2 linked regions of the Drosophila melanogaster genome follow. The gene in region 1 interacts genetically with each later gene. Each region holds a gene or a part of one and is shown on either strand. Other genes may lie near its edges.

What was found. A genetic interaction does not mean that the proteins touch.
Region 2: of shtd (region 1) and CycH, changing one enhances a phenotype caused by changing the other (phenotypic enhancement), as found in Drosophila melanogaster (one study listed by BioGRID).

What each region holds. Positions count from the first base shown.
Region 1 is NC_004354.4:15,455,020-15,466,585, reverse strand, and holds shtd (shattered), read left to right. Parts: upstream 1-4,144; 5' UTR 4,145-4,250; coding exon 4,251-5,298; intron 5,299-5,358; coding exon 5,359-5,482; intron 5,483-5,540; coding exon 5,541-5,702; intron 5,703-5,760; coding exon 5,761-6,979; intron 6,980-7,038; coding exon 7,039-9,083; intron 9,084-9,142; coding exon 9,143-9,577; intron 9,578-9,641; coding exon 9,642-10,224; intron 10,225-10,283; coding exon 10,284-10,760; 3' UTR 10,761-11,042; downstream 11,043-11,566. Other genes in the region: CG6299 (uncharacterized protein), read right to left, coding at 1-43, 110-367, 462-517, 593-728; CG6294 (uncharacterized protein), read right to left, coding at 2,178-3,758; CG11655 (uncharacterized protein), read right to left, coding at 11,283-11,566.
Region 2 is NT_037436.4:21,818,873-21,825,458, forward strand, and holds CycH (cyclin H), read left to right. Parts: upstream 1-3,124; 5' UTR 3,125-3,133; coding exon 3,134-3,447; intron 3,448-3,523; coding exon 3,524-3,725; intron 3,726-3,784; coding exon 3,785-4,013; intron 4,014-4,068; coding exon 4,069-4,180; intron 4,181-4,238; coding exon 4,239-4,356; 3' UTR 4,357-4,437; downstream 4,438-6,586. Other genes in the region: CG7407 (uncharacterized protein), read left to right, coding at 4,660-4,791, 4,854-5,228; eIF2A (eukaryotic translation initiation factor 2A), read left to right, coding at 6,166-6,205, 6,378-6,586.

The sequences.
Region 1 (11,566 bases):
GGCCCAGCAGTTGGCTGCGCGTGGGCACCCAACTGTAGATGATCTGCAAGCGAGGGAATGAGCGCCCAATTAGCGAAGGAAGTGAGAGATACCCGCCCGATGCACCCACCTTGATTGTGCTCTGGACGATGAAGCCGTGGTAGGGCTTCAATGTGCGTTCGTACGCGTCCTGCAGATGCTGCTTAAGTGCCTCCTTGGCCTGGGCATCGTTGTAGATGTTCTCGAAGAAGGTGCATATGAGCTGCAGGCCGCGCTTCAGCCAGAGCAGCGCGTTGGCCGCAAAGTCGTCCACGTTCACGTTCAGCACGATCAGATCCTCCAGATACTGGTACTTGACCACATCCGCTCCGTAGGCTTTCGTCAGTTTCTGAAACGGCAATAAACGGCAATGAAAACGAATGTACACATGTATATATATGTATGTATTTCGTGTTAGATCTTAAAGATCTTGGAAAGCTTACGTTTATGTTTCCGTTCATGTCGCTGATCACGGGTGTGAATAGTTTGCCGAAGCTCTCTGAAAAATGAAAAATGGTAAATAGATAGCAGTGAGTTGAATTGATTGGCTTCGGTTTGGGTGCGCTGTTATCACCTATGACGGTTACTATCTCCTTGGAGGCGTCGAGAAAGGCCTGTGTCTCCAGCTTATCAGCGGTATCGCCGATGGCCGGAAATCCGCGCAGCGCCTTGAACTGAATGCGCGCCGCCGATCCCTCGCTGGCTGCCATCGTGTGCTCCTGTTCTGTCCTGTTCCGTCCTCTAATTTCCTGCTCTGCTCTGCTGCGTTTCTGCTCTCCTTAGCTCTCCGATTGGTTCCGTATCCAATGCGCTTCGAACGCCGACTGATTGGTAAATCTGCAAGCGAAGTTGGCCACCTGCTTAGTTTCGGGCACCAATATCGGCTGTTTATCTTATCGAACGAGCTGCGCTCGGAATTCTAATACTACTCTACACTCGTGCGACACTTGAGCTCGCCATCGGACGGCCTTCTCCTCCGACGCGGCGATAATGGAAACTGGGCTGAGCAAAGTGCCGTGCGCGACTACGTTTCCCCACTCGCCGGGGGGAACGGGTTACGGGGGGGGTGGTGCAAGGGGTCAGAGCTTTAACCCACCTCACAGCTGGCGTCTTGGATCTTGGAGAGCCGCCAGAGAGCTCGAGTTCCGCACACTTCGATCCAATCCGAGTTGGCTTAGTACGAAAACCTGATTTCAGGTTTGCACCATGGGATAAAACGCGATTTTATGTCTCAAATTATCGGACAGCAGGAACTTACAAAAATTACAGCTTTAGATTGAGAAGTTTTGAACTGAGATTGAAATAGACAAAGTTACTTACAATTCTAAGTTACTTTAACAATTTCAACACTTTCAATTGCTAAATTAAAGTATTTGAAAGTGTTTTAGATTCAAAAACTCGAATCAAACAATAATTTACTCAATACGCTAACGTTTTTCTAACCGCAATGCGTGTAAATACCAAAAGTATTTAGTAAACTAAATACTAAAAACTAAAAATAGTTAAAAACCGTTTTTCTAGCTAAAAAAAAAAGCGTTTTAAAAAGATATATGTATTTCAAATGGCAACCGTTTTCAAATGCCAATTTGCAAGTTAGCAAATAAAAACTTTTAGACAAACTTTTAACTATCACGCATTTTCGAATCATAGTAACAGCGATAAGGCTTATCAATAAATAAAATTATGGCATTCCCATGTTAATCTGAATTGTTTTCCCTATTTTGTTTTCGCCAGCGCTGCGAAAGTCAGACAGTTTGATTTTGTGGAACCAACCAACCAGGGTGCACGTCACCGCGTATGGAATCTGGCAATGGAACAGCAATGACTCACCGATGATGGCTGGGCTCTGGGTTTCGGTTTTATCAAGCAATTTGATTGCGTGGCGGGGGAATCTTTCGACGGAATCTTTATCAGCTTAATTGATTGCTGGCTAATTGAGTTGCATTCAAACAGAATGATATCTTTCTTAAATTATTTCTACTACTCTTGTCGAGTATTTTTAAGTACATTCACTAATTACAAAGCGATTATATTATATATACATTGAAATCGCATTCGGGATAATATTTTCATATATGGCAAGCATTGCAAAAAGTTGCCCCTTTCATCCAGTTAACTATGCCAAGGACGTGGGCCACTCACCTCGCGCTGCGGCAATCCTAGGAGGAATCGCAGGATAGCCGCTTGGTGTCGCCACTGGTGGTCAGCACGAAAACGTAGTGGGTGCACTGCTCCGCGAGGAGATGCCACAGCGAAGCGGGCAGCTGGAAGCGGTGCACATACGGCTCCTCGAACTCCTCGTAGTGGGCCACCAGGCTGTTCTGGTTGCAGCGCAGCTCGATCAGTCGGATGGGCCTGCTGGAGCGAATCTCACGCGTGTCGCGGTTCAATTGTATGCTGGCCGCCTCAAAGTCGACGGCAGCCGTCTGCTCCAGCTCCAAATTCAGCCAGCGATGATGGGCCAGGATTACGGCACAGTTGCGTGCAAAATAGAAGCTATCGTGGCGTCGCTGGTTGTGGTAGTTGTCCAGCAGTTGGCTGCTTGGCTGCAATTTCAGTTTGGTGAGGCGGGCGCGGTTGCCCGTTGCGGCGCCACTGCCGGCGGACGAGGAGGAGGAGGAGGTGGAGCTGGATGAGGATGATCCGCCCTCGGATGAATTAGTATTGGCAAGTGAGCCCCTGCGGGCGTCCACAATTCGCTGCGGCAAATGCTCCGTGGGCTGGTCCACGGTCAACACGCGATTCAAGTAGTCGAAGCCCTGGCCCATCACACCCTCGCTGGTGTGGCCCAGATCGAAGCAGTGGCCCAGTTCGTGGCACACGGCGCCCAAGGTGCTGGCATAGACGCCGCCGTACGTCCGCCGATAGTTGCTCTCGTCCGGCAGGCGGGCGATGTCCACCCGCTGGGCGCTGCGCACACAGTCGCCGATCTCCGCGAAGCTCGTGGGCCACGCGTAGAAGTGGGCACTACCAAAGAGCGCCAAGCCGCCGCCACCGAGTGCTGCGTGTCCCTTGAGATGCCGCCGGATGTTGGCGTACGAGGAGTCACCGCTGGCCACCACTGCGTCGCCGTCGTAGCGCGTGCAGCCCACAAAGGCGACGAACTTGAGGAGCAACTGGTGGCCCCACTGCGGACAGGCGATAATCTCGCCGGCGAAATGCTGCCACAGCTCGTCCTCGCTCTTCGCCAGCGCCTGTTTCCGGGTCAACTGGCTGCGGAAGGCGCAGCACTTGCCGTTGAGCGTGAAGGTGCGGTTGGGAAAGCCCGCCGCGTGCAGTTTGTGCGCGTAGATGGACTGCACCAGCCGCAAATTAAGATCGATGAGGGAGTGCACCTCGTGCTGCTGCGCCAGCGTCTTCTCCTCGTCCTGACAGAGCAGGTAGAGCGGCTGCACCCGGTAGGAGCTGCGGCGGGGCCGGTAACTGAAGCTAATCGTTCGGGTGGCCGTGCAGGATCGCAACTCCAGGAGGCAGGCGCTCTCCTCCTCCTCCTCCTCGCGATTCGCTTGTTCCAAGTCGAATAGGAGCTTAAACTCGCCGCCGGCCGACAGCTGGGTGAGCTGCTCCTGGGACAGGTGCTCGGGCAGATCGAGGATCGCCTTCAGTTGACGCGCCGTGGAACACTTGGGCACCAGGCGTCCCTTGACCAACAGCAGGCTGTGCTCCAGGCGCTCCGACGTCAGCGGCTGCTCAACCTCGATGCTGTGCGCGCGCTTGCAGCCGGCGGTGCCGCTGCTCATTGCCAAATTCTGGCCAGGATTTCCGGTTCCGTTTGTCTGCTCAAATCAAAATCCAGACTCCGAAATCCAATTGGAAAAGCCGAACAAACGCACTGTGCTGCCAGACCGGGAAAATAACCGGTACGCCAGCGGACCAAAGCTGGTTGCTACAAGTGACCAACCGGCATTGTAATCGATAGTAAAAGCAATCGAACTGTTATATTTTATATTTTTAAAAATAGGCAAAGCCATTTCTCTAGCATTTCTTTCGGTATGACTTTATGGCATATACTGGTAATTGTTTTGTTTGTCGCGATTCTGGTCTTCCTATCGTTATCGGCCTTTTGATAGCTCTCCTCATATCGAAGTACTGCAGGCCCGATAGAATCAGGCACTTATCGCCACCCGATTTCGATGACAGTTTTTAAATAATTGTGCAAATTCCTTGCTAATAATAAATTGTAATCAATTAACTTGTCAATCGCAATTCTGGATGCACCTGGCGACGCGGACATGATCGCCGTCGCAGAACCGCCGCTGGAGTTTGTGCCGCGCGGCCGTCAGACGTCCGCGGAGCATCCGGGCCCACATGACCAGCCAATGGCGCGCCACCAACTGCCCACCACGGAGCATCTGCTGCTGCAGCGCCTCCAGAATGTGAACATCTCGTCGGCCGGTGAGGACTGCCCTTCGGGCGGACAGGAGTCGTGGACAGTCCGAGAGCTGTACGATGACTACGAGGCATCCGAGGAGCGCGCCGCCCTGCGACGCAAGTTGACCGAGCGGACAAAGCGATGTGGTCTCCAGGCCACCTCGCTGCCGAACAGACTGCTCAATCCACCGCTGGTGCGGCGCGTGGAGCCAATGTGCGACTATATGGTTAACAACGAGGAGGAGCTCTATGTGAACCGGAACACGGTGGTGTGGACACAAGGCGTCAACGATGACGACGATACCGACAATGGGGTGTACCGGCGCATGTGTTTCACCACCGATACGCCGGTGCGCTTCGCCTGCTTCCTGAATCGCAGTTTTGTGCGCGGGCGACTGGCGCAGCTGAAGGCGGCTGTCCACCCGGATGACGACCATTTGACCGCCATCTGTGTGATGGATCAGGACGCCCTGCGGGTGTACTGCAGCAACGGCGAGGACTTTCTAGCCAATCTGGACTTTCCCGTGTCACAGCTGTGGCAAACCAAGTATGGCCTGCTGCTGGAAAAGGACTCCAGCAATGCCTTGATATCGCACATGTCCATTCCGATGCCGCGTCTCTTCTCTATGTCGCATCCGCTGCACGAGGCCTGTCCCGTCGTCCTGAAGACGGCCACCGGCTCCACCGGCTACATGACCGAACCGGAATACACTGTGGTCTTCACCACCGAGGAATCGGATTTGGTGATGCTGTACGATGCCAAGTTCTTTAAGCATTTCGTTGCACGCCTGCGTAAGGTAACGCCCGAAGAGATCAACTATGTGAGTCAGCAGATGGAGCTGGGACAGACGCTAATGGGACCCAGGTCGATGGCAGGCAATAGTTTCAGTTCCACCAAGCAAACTGGAGGTGAGTTGATAGCAATGCCAGCAAGGGCATACGATTTATTCACTGTCTATCCATTGCTAGCCACGCCAAAAGCAACGAACTTATCGTTTGCGGCCAGGAATATCAACACCACCACCACCGGCATGGGCAACCAGTTCGGACTCAGCCAGTCGCAGTCGTTCAGCGGAGTTCTTGGACAGTCGAAGTACGTTTAAGTCGCTGTCATCCATCACTTACTTATTATTGCCTCTTCTTCCGTTTAGTCGCGCCTCCCTAGGCACTCCATTGAGCCAACTGCAGAGCAGTATTAGCCAGCAGTCCATGTCCGTGAAGGATATGCGCAAGTTAACGCACGTGAAGCCGGCAAAACCCATTGAGCCGGAATTGTGTATGGAGCACATCTGGACGGAGAACATCTACGGAACGTCAGTAAATGCCACCAAAGATGCCACTTTCAGTACTAAAATTGTCTGTCTTCCTTAGTCAACGAGAGTTCTGCGAGATGGCCACCCGAGCATTTATCCACACGGATTTAGTGGGTCAGACCTTTTTGTGCTACCTGCTGGCCCGCTCGTGCCGCCTTCAGTTGGTCCGCCTCACTGGCTATGGAAGGGGCGAGGTGCAGCTCTCCACGCACGCCTCCACGCTGGCCGCGAAAGATGCAGTGGGTCTGAAGAGAATGCACATGATTGCCGTTCTCGATCCGAGTGGCAGCTTACTTCTATACACAGGCACCGTGCTCATATCCAAGGTGCACATTACGCCGTTTTTGGCGCCTACCTCCATTCCCACACCGCTGGTAACGCCCATGACTGCTGCCCCATCTCCGTCGGCTTCGCCCGCTCCGTCTCACGTTAAAACACCAATGGCAGCTGCTGGACCAGCAAGCGGCATTCCGTCCGGCAGCAGTTCTTTCGTGGAGGTGCGAAGGAGCAGCCTACTGCCCACAAAAGCGCCGGGGGATGTGGCTGCCTTCGAAGAGGAGCTGCACATGCTGTCGCCCATCCAACCGCAGCCGGTGTCCTACACACAGCGGCAGGCGCACAATGTCTGCAAATCCCTGAGAGATCCGGCGGGAAATCGATTGACTTTGGTTTATGCCACGGGCAGAATGCTCAGAATAGCGCTGCCATTTCTAAATGATACACGATTGCTCACCAGATGTGTGGCTACGCTACGGCAGGTTCTAAGTCCGACCCAGTTCCTGGACTTTGTTATCCGTTGGTATAGCGACAGGAATCCGCCGGGATCGAGGAATTACTCCATAGAGCAGGAATGGCTGCTATTCCGCTCCACACTGCTCGCCCTAATGGGTCTGACTGCTGCACCGGATGTGGATGCGGGCGAGAACTACGCTAGATGTGCCACGCCACCGCTGCACACTCAATTTGGAGGCGGCGCTACTGCGACGGAATCGAGTGACGGTTCTAGTTGCAGTTCCAATTCTACACTGGGTGGCCAGGATGAGCCGAAGAAACGGCGAATATACAATGATTGCGATGATTTCACGGACGACGACTGGGAGTTCCTGCTGCTCCAGACGACACTGGCTCCCTGCGGAGCCGATGGCCACAGCTACAGCGTGAACATCGGTGCGCTGCTCTTCCGAATGATTCCCGCCATCTTCTTCAGCCTGCATTTACTGTACGAGGATCTCAAACTGGACGCTGACTTTTATGGAGCGCTTCCATATCTGGCAACGGTAGGTGAATCATTTAATAGATCCATTAGTGGTTTTCTAACACCATCTCCTCGTTCCAGTTCCTACACCAGCTGGCCATCGATATGCAGCTGGAAAGTTATGTGCTGCACTACATACTAGACTTTCCGGAACTCTCGAATCGTACGGGCAAGCTCTCGTTGCTGGGAGCTGAGCACGGAGCTATGATGCTGCACCAGGAGCTTCTGAGGGTTCCGGCACCCAGTGTGTTTGCCCAACTCGAGCACATTATTGTCGGCGAGGAGGAGGTGATGCCTTACACCTTCTTGGAGTGCGTTAACGAGAGAAGTCGCATTTTACTGCAGCTCGTATCGCTGGTGACTCATGGGCATGAGCGTCTGAATTACTGGTGGCAGCTGCTTGAGATCCCCGGCGCCGTTCAGGCCAACTTTACGCGGCGCTCTAAGCGTAATATCACGGCGGATGCTCCGCGTAGCCATCAGATGTTACAGCTACTTCTGGCCATGCGCTTGACACGGCGAGACATTGAAAGATTCCCGGCGGCAGTGCATCTGATTGTAGCGGAGGCACTGGAGGAGGCTCGCCTCTCGCCGCCCATGGGCTGCAGCATGGCCACCTATGAACTTATCCTGCGTCCAGAATTGGCGGCCCACGCTCAACTGCCGTTCCTCGAAACGAGCACTGGGCAACCGCATTGTGGCCGGGTCTACAAGGAAGATTCACTGTCAGCGAGGTGTCCGCCGACCGGGGGATCAGAAACTGATTCACCGGCCCAATTGCGCCGCGACGACATGGACAACATGGACACAAAACTACTGCGTCTGCGTTTTCCCGATGACATGCGGGTGGATGAAGTGCGCCGTCTGCTTAACAGCTCGGAACCGGTGGTCATTGAAGTGCAACAGGCACCGGGAACCAGCGATCACGAATTCATTGAGGAGCAGGAGAAGCAACTGTTTGCACTATGTTCGCGCACAATGACACTGCCCGTGGGCAGAGGTATGTTCACCCTGAGAACGATGTTGCCGCGGCCCAGCGAAAGCTTGACCATGCCCAAATTGTGCCTGTTGGGCAAGGAGCCGCTGAAGGGCACCACCATCGAAATGCAGCAGATCGAATTCCCAGCGAATATGCAAATGTGGCCATCGTTTCACAATGGCGTGGCCACTGGCCTGAAGATCTCACCCCAGGCTCAGGACATAGACTCCAATTGGATTGTCTACAACAAGCCCAAAACGCATTCGCATAATGCCCTGGAGCACGCTGGTTTCCTCATGGCCCTGGGCTTGAATGGTCACCTAAAGACGCTGTCCTTCATGAGTGTCTATAAGTATTTGGTTAAATGCGATGAGATGACCAACGTTGGTCTGCTGCTGGGCATTTCCGCTGCCCATCGCGGCACCATGGATACGAAAACCACAAAGTTGTTGAGCGTTCACTTGGAGGCACTGCTGCCAGCCACCGCCATGGAGTTGGATATACCGCAAAGCACACAGGTGGCTGCTATAATGGGCGTCGGTTTGCTCTATCAAGGATCAGCTAAGCGCCACATAGCCGAGGTGCTGCTCCAGGAGATTGGCCGTCCTCCAGGCCCTGAGATGGAGAACAGCATTGAGCGCGAATCGTATGCCATGACAGCAGGTCTATCCCTCGGATTGGTTACCCTCGGTCAGGGTGAATCGCCGGCGGGCCTAAGGGACCTCCAACTGCCGGATACCCTGCACTACTACATGGTCGGTGGAGTGAAGAGACCCATCGGCGGTTCCCAGAAGGAGAAATACCGACTAGCCTCGTTCCAAGTTCGTGAAGGCGATACCGTCAACATAGATGTCACTGCTCCGGGTGCAACGCTCGCATTGGGACTTATGTTCTTCAACTCGGGGAACGCAGCTATTGCCGAATGGATGCAGCCGCCGGATTCGCGGTATCTACTGGACATGGTGCGGCCTGACTTCCTTCTGCTGCGCACAATTTCCCGGGGCCTCATCCTATGGCAGGATGTCCGGCCGGACAACGCGTGGTTCCAGGCACAGTTTCCGCGAGCACTCCGAGCTCACCTAAAACTCCCGTTCTACGAAAATGAGTATGCACCCGAGGACTATGACGTGGACTACGAGGCCATCTCGTGAGTAACTGAAGTTGAATGTCAAAGTAATTAGATACGAATTATATACTCTTGTCCAGGCAAGCCTATTGCAATATCATGGCTGGAGCTGCCTTCTGCATTGGTCTCAAGTACGCCGGCACTGAGAATCTGGTGGCCTTTGCCACGCTGCGGTCGGTGATAAAGGATTTCCTTCGCTTCCCCAGCAGGCCGATGGGCGAATGTGCCGGTCGCACCACTGTGGAGAGCTGCCTGATGGTGCTGCTCATCTCGATCTCGTTGGTGTTCGCCGGCTCCGGCAACTGCGAAATTCTTCGCATAATTCGGTTTCTCAGGTCGCGAGTGGGACCACAATATCCGCACATAACCTACGGCTCTCACATGGCCATACACATGTCGCTTGGCCTGCTATTCCTCGGCGCGGGTCGCTTCACCATTTCCCAGACACCGGAGTCGATTGCTGCACTGGTCTGCGCCTTCTTCCCCAAGTTTCCCATACACAGCAACGACAATCGGTAAGGATTAATATATTTGCAGCAATGTGTTAGCACACTTCACCGCATGGATTTACATTTTAAGATACCATCTGCAAGCGCTGAGACATCTCTATGTACTGGCTGTGGAACCGCGCCTGTTCCTTCCCCGGGACATTGACACCAATAAGCTGTGCCTGGCCAACATATCCGTGTTGGAGGTGGGTGCCACCGAGCTGCGCCGCCTGCCCATCGCTCCCTGCATCCTGCCAGTGCTGAGCACCCTGCAGCAGGTGGTGGTGGACGACGAGAACTATTGGCCAGTGTGCTTCGAGCGATCGCGCAACTGGGATCAGCTGGAAAAGGCGCTGGAGATGAGTGCACCGATTGATATTAAGAAGCGAACGGGCTGCCTTTCCCACTTGGAGGACCCGGACAGGCTGAAGAGCATGCTGGCCCAAACATTGACGATGGAACAGAGCATCTGTTGGCAGATCGATATGAACGACCTGCAGCAGTTTGCCAGCGAACGTATGGTGAAGCAGTTCCTCAGTCGCTGCCTGGACACCAAAGGCACGGATTTGAGTCCCCCGGAGCTGATGAAGCGGCACCAGGTGATGCTGCTATTCTACAATGCCGTGGTCAAGGATCGCATGCATTTCCTGCCGGTTTACCTAACCCTATACGATGTAAGTGCATCCATTCACTTGCATAATTTGACCGCGAATGTAACGTTCTTTGTTTTTAGCACGTAACCAAGTCCATGCCGAACAACATCGATGTGTGGCAGATGAAGCTCATCGATGCCTATTTGAGTCGCAGCCAGGAGTCCGAGCATCCGCTCATCTCCGTGGAGCTTATCCAAATGATGCAAGAGCTCTTCAAGCAGGAAATGGAGGACTCGACGCGCGAGTTGTGCTTACCGCTGCGCGAGTTCCTCAGCCGAAGGCGTCTGGATCCCAGCTATGTGACCACAGTCAGTGGACCGGACTTGCAGCGAGCCTTCTGCGTGATCAATTACTACAATCTGTTGCCGAATATGTTGAATGGAGTGGACTTGAGCACGGGCACAGTTAACTATATGCGTCTTTTATACGAATTCCGCCGGCTGAATCTCGGCGCGCACACCATATTTGGCCTAATGAAGATCCTACAGTCACTGGCCACCGAAGTGGTGACTCTGGATGAGGCAGCCCTTCTGGCGTACACCATGGGTGACCAGTGATGATCGATGGAAATTCTTTTTTGCTAGACCCATATTACTGTACATTCATTTCTAAATAATATTATTGCACATTATTTCAAAATTTCGCCGCCACTTATAATCGAAACTTTGCATAAAAGTTTGCTGCCCAACTCTTGAAATTATATTGTTATACAATCACGTCGAAACGTTTTGGATATGAATATTTAAATGCATGTTCCTTAATGTTTAACGATTTAACGATAGCACAAAAACTGTATAAAATATATTTACAAATAAATAGCCCATAACGCTTGCAAAATTAATAGGTTAATTTTATTGTAAAAAAAATAATTATCCCAATAAGTTTGGGTTCGTCTTAGGTGTTAGGTGAAATTCTGGAGTATAATACGCTTGAGATTTGCGGCATTCCTTGGTCCCAAATTTAACCAGCATCTATCTCAGCCTTGTCTACGTGCGCTAGCACGATGTATAGGTTATCAAAATAACGAATATGTACAAAGAAACTATGTGCTATAGCCATGCTATATAGCCATGGTAATGCTAATGTATCGCCCCAGCTATCCGCTCCGCTTCGGAGGCGGTGGCGCTGGCCTCACTAATTCGCTTGTTGCCCCAGCACCGGTTGTACAGATAAATGCCCAGCAGGGGCAGCGGCGTCATCACGGCCACCGATACGGGCACCACCGTGGTGATGTCCGCCTCCGGCGATTCCAGCGTGGTCGTCAGCAGGAAGATGGCGATGCCCGTGTTCTGGATGCCCGTCTCGATGGCGATGGTCAGGGCGTCGGCTGCATTTTGGTGCAGCAGCTTGGCTGCCAGGAAGG
Region 2 (6,586 bases), on another chromosome or scaffold:
TGTGAAACTCTCGAATGGCAATTCACACGTCTATCCGATAGGTGTACGTCTACATCGGTGTGTTCGGGAGAGTATCTTTGGGAACACGCCCCCCGAGAGCAGCGCACAAAGTGAGATACAAAGCTGAATAATCGCACGACACACGCACAATTAGCTGCGAAAACAGTAGCTGCTAAGCAGGAATAATACCCCCAGCGAATTGCAGGGAATCCAAGATCCAAGGCGGGGGGATGAAAATGGGAGACTGGAGATCGTGAGCATGAAACATCGACTCGCGTGCTCAATATGCTTTTAAAATGCATTTATGCACGGTGATGGGGAGTGGGGCGCCGAGATACAAGTACCCACTTGTGTAGATGCTTGTTGCAGATACTTTCGCAATGAGTTTTATTGGTGTCGCTCCGTAGAGATCGATAGAGATCTACGGATCTCTGGAAAGCATCTGGCATGAAGGGATAACGATAAGGTAAACGAAATCCATCGCAGCGTCTTAGATCGGTCGAAAAACAGAGACCACCCAAATTTATGTAATACAATACCTGCTCCAATAATAATCATAACATTTGAGTCGATTTACGACGGCTGAACTTGAAGCATTCGATAAAATGAAAAAATAAATAAATCTATGGCACAGGGAGAAAATGAAATCAGTTTACAATCCGATACATACTCAGCGGGCGAGCATTTACAAACAATGAAATTCAATGCAATAATTCAAGATTCAATTGAATTTTAAGTACGCCCAGCGCCGAGCTTCCTTTTGTATCCGTAACTAGAAACTGACGATAAGCTGAGGCCAGCCGACTGTCAGTCACTCAGTCCGTCAGTCGGTCAGTTAGGCAGTCAGTCAAGCATTCAGTCAGTCCCGCCGACGGCCATCCATCTCATCCCAGATCGTCTGTCTGTGTGTCGCGCACGCGCATAAACTTCCCACTGAGCCAGTTGGCCTGTAGGAGGGAATTGGGCCCAAACCCGAGTCAGTTATTGCTAGCGGCTAAGCTGTAATAGTGGGCCACACATTTGGGGATTGAGTTTAATAAAATATCCTAACAAGTGCTGAATTCGGTGAGATGAAAATCTTGCGATTGCCAGAGTTGGATATCAAATAATAAGGATCATGACATTTCACTTAACACACTTTCATATAATTTCTGTCATAGAGCATTGAACTAAGGCTTAATTTAGCATCGTAGATCTCATGAGTAAGAAGTAAAATCAATATTATGAAAATAAATATATATATAATTAGTAATTTAATTGGTTGCCAATTTGTGTTAAGATGCCAAATAAAGATGCTCTGAAAGATCCGTTTAGCAGCATTACAGTTCGAGACAAAAACACTCTTTACCTTGTGAAATTACTGAGAAGTCGCGAAAAGATCACCAACCAGACGATACAACAGGAGTTCAGAGTTGTCAATAAAAATTAATTGCAATTTTATTGCCACAGAAGGCAGCTCCTGCATACAAAGTACTCGATATGCCTTACACTCGATTGATCTTTAGGCTTCGGAGTTACCAAGCAATTGAATGTCTTTTGGTAGCTCAAGTAAATACAAAATTAAGACTTTTAAGAGTTGTGAGCCAACTTAGGCACTATTGCCAATTAGGGCATGATATGGAAAATAAGGAGAACGCAGTTAAATAAATGCATACTACAGAATTAATGCAATATATATTACATCACCTAAAGTAAAAGTAAATATAGTTAGTTTAACCACTATTAAGAATACCCTTAGCCACAATCTTATTTCCGAATGGTAAAAATTTCTTTAAAGTTTATAGAACCAAAAAGGGAAGTCAAGTATAATTTGCCACATTTCTGGTACGAATAATAAAACGTTAGTCAAAACGTAGTCATACATATACATATGAATAAATACAGCGAAGGTAATAATTCCTATAGCAGATTTATCATATAGTGGTCAGATCCGTCCCGTTCAATCTTATATAATATTCATACTATAATCAAAGACACTCAAATAATTCTAGTGTCTTTGCTATAATAGTATATAATATACATACTGCCAGCAGATTGCTTCAGATTTAAATGACTTGTTTGCGTAGAAACTGACGAACGGATATATGTATGTGAACTCGGCTGCTGATACTGATCAAGAATATATATCCTTTATATGGTCACGAATGTCTCTGTTGCACACTACAGACTAAAATCAAAATATTCTCTGAAAGGTATTCCCAACAAAAAACGCTATATCCTGGGATAACCATTGTATTCTTACGATTAATTTCACAAAATGAATTAAGAAACTATAATTGTACAGAAACGATTATTTAAAGGATTATTGCCGTTCAAAAACGAAAGAGTAATTCCCGCTACTGTTCCGCTGTTTTCACGTCCGCAGATTTAAGTGACCCAATTGCAAAAACAAAAGCAAAACAATATTAATTCAACTCTGAGCCGACTGATGCTGCAGGCACCTCAAAGTTAAAAAATGCGTAGCACGTGCGTTCAGAAATTCGGCCAAGAAAAAAGGAAACTGTTAACTGGGTCCATAAATTCAACTTTGTTGTATATACATACATACATACTGTATGTTCATATAAGTACGTCACTTTAAACATCTGCCTTCGTTTCCTTTAACTCTTTAATTTATTTTTGATCCAGCTTTAATAACTATTAATTTATTATTCCTATAACTTGTACGTTGAATGGGCATAGGTAATTTTCTTGAAATATGAAATATTTAAAATGGAATGCATTCTGTATGAAATGTATTCGGGCCTAAAAAGATGATTGTAGTTATTTAAATTTGAAACTAGATTTTTAATACAAGAAGATTGATAAAAAGTTATTTTTGATTTATATTTAATAAATATTTTAGAACTAAAACCAAAATAAATGATGTTTTCCCTACTAAAATTATACTCGAACTTGTAGCTGTATTAAAACGTGTTCACTTATTGATTAAATCATAGCCCATACAGTTAGTTATACGTTCTCAATTTTTGCCAATCTTGCGCTTCTGATTTCCAATGAAATAAAAGTGACTATTGTACGAATCACCCTAATATTTTTTCACAACTGGTATTTTTCTCCGTCCCGCAATCGGTAACACCATGCAGGGTGTCTGAGTTTCGAATCGGCATAAATTCGCCGGCAGCTGAGCAAGATGTATCCTGTGAGCTCGCAAAAGAGGTCCTGGACATTCGCCAATGAGGGCCAGCTCATGGAGTTCCGCGTGGAGCAGAACAGCAAGTACATCGAGTCGCACGAGGAGGAGGCGCAGGGTCGCGACCTCAATGAGCACTTTCTCACGTCGGCGGAGGAGCGCCTGTTGCTGAAGCAGTACGAGATCTACCTGTTCGATTTCTGCCGCCGCTTCGAACCGACGATGCCCAAGTGCGTTGTGGGCACGGCCTTCCACTACTTCAAGCGGTTCTATCTGAACAACTCCCCCATGGACTATCACCCCAAGGAGATTCTGTAGGAACGCTCACCTGAGAGCAGCAAACACCCAGCTGAAAAGCAAAACATTCTAAAAATGTATAAACCTTTTCAGAGCCACATGCGTGTTCGTTGCCTGCAAAGTTGAGGAGTTCAACGTGTCCATCAACCAGTTCGTAAACAACATCAAGGGCGACAGGAACAAGGCCACCGACATAGTGTTGTCCAATGAATTACTGCTGATTGGACAGCTCAACTACTACCTCACCATACACAATCCGTTCAGACCCATCGAGGGTTTCCTGATAGATATAAAAGTGCGATATATATTCACATTTGCTCTCCAGATTGTTTCGTTCATATTGGTTTGTTTCAGACTCGCAGCAATATGCAGAATCCAGATCGTCTGCGGCCACATATTGATAGTTTCATTGATTCCACGTACTACTCGGATGCCTGTCTTCTGCATACGCCTTCGCAAATTGCATTGGCTGCCGTCCTCCACGCGGCCAGCAGAGAGCAAGAGAATCTCGATAGCTATGTGACGGATCTTCTGTTTGTCTCCGCCAGGGAGAAGCTACCCGGACTCATAGATGCCGTGCGAAGTAAGTTTGTGCTGTGAGATGGTGCGCCCAGCCCTACATGCCTTTTTCCCGACAGAAATTCGCATAATGGTGAAGCAATATCAGCAGCCCGATCGGGAGAAGGTCAAGGCCATCGAGAAAAAGTTGGACAAGTGCCGAAATCAAGCCAATAATCCTGATAGCGAACTGTAAGACGCCCTAATTTGTTCATGCATTCCGAATTTAATAACCCTTATACTTTAAAAGCTATAAGGAGCGCCTACGCCGATTGTACACCGATGAGGATGACATGCCCGCCGAAGATGCCTCATTCCACATTGCAGATGTGAGCTCGGACACATCTGCTATGAACATCAGCCAATAGACTTAAGAATATTTATTTAAATGATGTGATGATCTACTACTGCGTGGATTTCATCGATATTAAAGCATTTTGTAATTTACCATTTCTTGATTGTTAAAATGTATGCGTTTAGTGTTAGTTTACTAAACAAAGTTGGATTAGGTACTTCACTTTTCCAATATATAAAATATTAAAAAAAAAACCTTTTGAAAATCCGCTTAGCGCTGCTTGGCAATATTTCGTTCGCAGCTAACGGCCACACTGCGCCCCAAGAAAAACAAGAATAGTGAACTCAGTCACAACAAATAGCAAAAAGAGTTCGAAATGCAGGATTTTCTGCCTTCGCTGGATGTTCTCTTTCTTGGACTACCAGGCCACTACTCGGTAGCGCTGGTCACCCTTCTGCTGTGCGTTTTGGTCGCCTTCTACTTCGCCAACATCTTCAAGGACAAAGGCGTGGGTGTTTTTGCCGGAAGAAGTAGACGTCTCCTGGAATATTTCCTTACATTATCTTGCAGGAACTGGAGGACGAGGGCCTGGGGGCCGACGAGCCGCGCGATGAGGAGGATTCCGAGTCACGGACTCCGCAAGGGGAGGAAACCGACGATGACGAGGCCTACGAAGAGAACTCCACCGAAAGCGAAGTTGAGCTAATCGAGGAACAGCTGCCCGAGCACAGCTACAACCACCTGATGGGCCAGCTCAAGGCCAAGAGGCTCCAGCATAAGATGGAGAAGACCCTGACTCCCAGCCAAATCGAGGAGGAGCGCCGAATAGAGCGCGAGCAGCTGGCGGCCATCTTTGAGCTCCTGCGCAAACAGGAGGCGGAATTGAACCTCCAGGACCGAATAAGCGACCAGGATCTCAAGCAGCAGGTGCGGCTCTATCGCTGAAGTGGCGCCGAGCCTGGGCTCACCCTACCTGAATGTACAGACTTGTGTGATCTATTAGTTTAATGTTTAAAATTCCAAGATTTGGTGTTGCCTCATACGGTCCACTAAGTGCGGGCAAGTCTTTAGTCAGAGAGCTATCTCATCAGTCGATGATGTCGGAATATAATATCTTAGTTGTATGTAAATTATATGTATTCCACTTCGATCTATGTATTTTGTGAGTTCCTGGTGTTATTAATATCTGATTTAGATTTGTAGTAAATGGCTGTTCGGCTCTTAGTCTCTTAAATCAGCTTTCGAATTAAGAATATATGTATATATTTTAACGTGTTACAAGATAAAAACTCGCGATCAGAAAGTGTATAGATTTAAACACAATTAATCGCCAAATTCGTTGGTTAGATTTAAATTGTGTTCATATAACTTTGGATTTATTTGTTCAATAAAGAATGTTTAGCTGTGTTAAGATGTAATATATACTCTAAATATTTCCTACCGTTTCCTAGCCAAATATCCGAAAATAACCGCTCATATTTTATATGCCGCGATTGGATTTTTGAAAATAATTGTTCTAACATATAGATTCCATCAGCACACCTTCGATTGGAGCAGTCGAAATGCTTAGCGTTTCTGTTCCAAATTTTTTAGTACTAAAATGTTTTTAAATTCACGTGGAGCAGATATTTTGTTGGAGTTCTAAATACGTTCGGTTTGGTTTGGTTGATGTTTAAACGTGTCGTTGTGGCGCCAATGCCCATGCATGTTTACTATCGCTTATCGATACACCGCGTACACGGCAACCGTGTGTGACCAATTCAAGCACGAAATCGTTGACCAACACTGATTGTACATCAGACGACACGACAACAAAAACAACAGCAACAACACCACCGACGTGCTTGTTCCTGTGTGTGTGTGCGTGTGAGATTGGAAGACAATGGCTGCAGCTGCGGATCTGGTTGTTCCTACCCTTGCCAGTGAGTATAGCCCGGATGCAATCCCCGCCAGGTGGTCACTGAGGTGCCGTCGACTCCTTGGAGCATCGAAGGCAGCCGATTGGGCCGCCCGGTTAGCGGAAAAACTGGAAAAACCGCGCGACCTCGTGTTTCCACCTGCTAATCGGGGTCACCTCTCGATTCTCATCAACAGTTCGCTCTAGCGTGGCCGTGGAATTGTGGTCCTCGGCGGGCTCCAAGCAGCCCTTCGAGCACAAGCCCCACCTGCCGCGCGAGGAGACGAAGAGCTCGCGCTCGATCTGCTTCAGCTCCAACGGCCGGTACTTCGCCTACTCCAACGGGCAGGAAGTCAAGGTGCTCCAGGCCAGCCGGGACAGCGCAGCCAGCTGGCCAGTGATATGC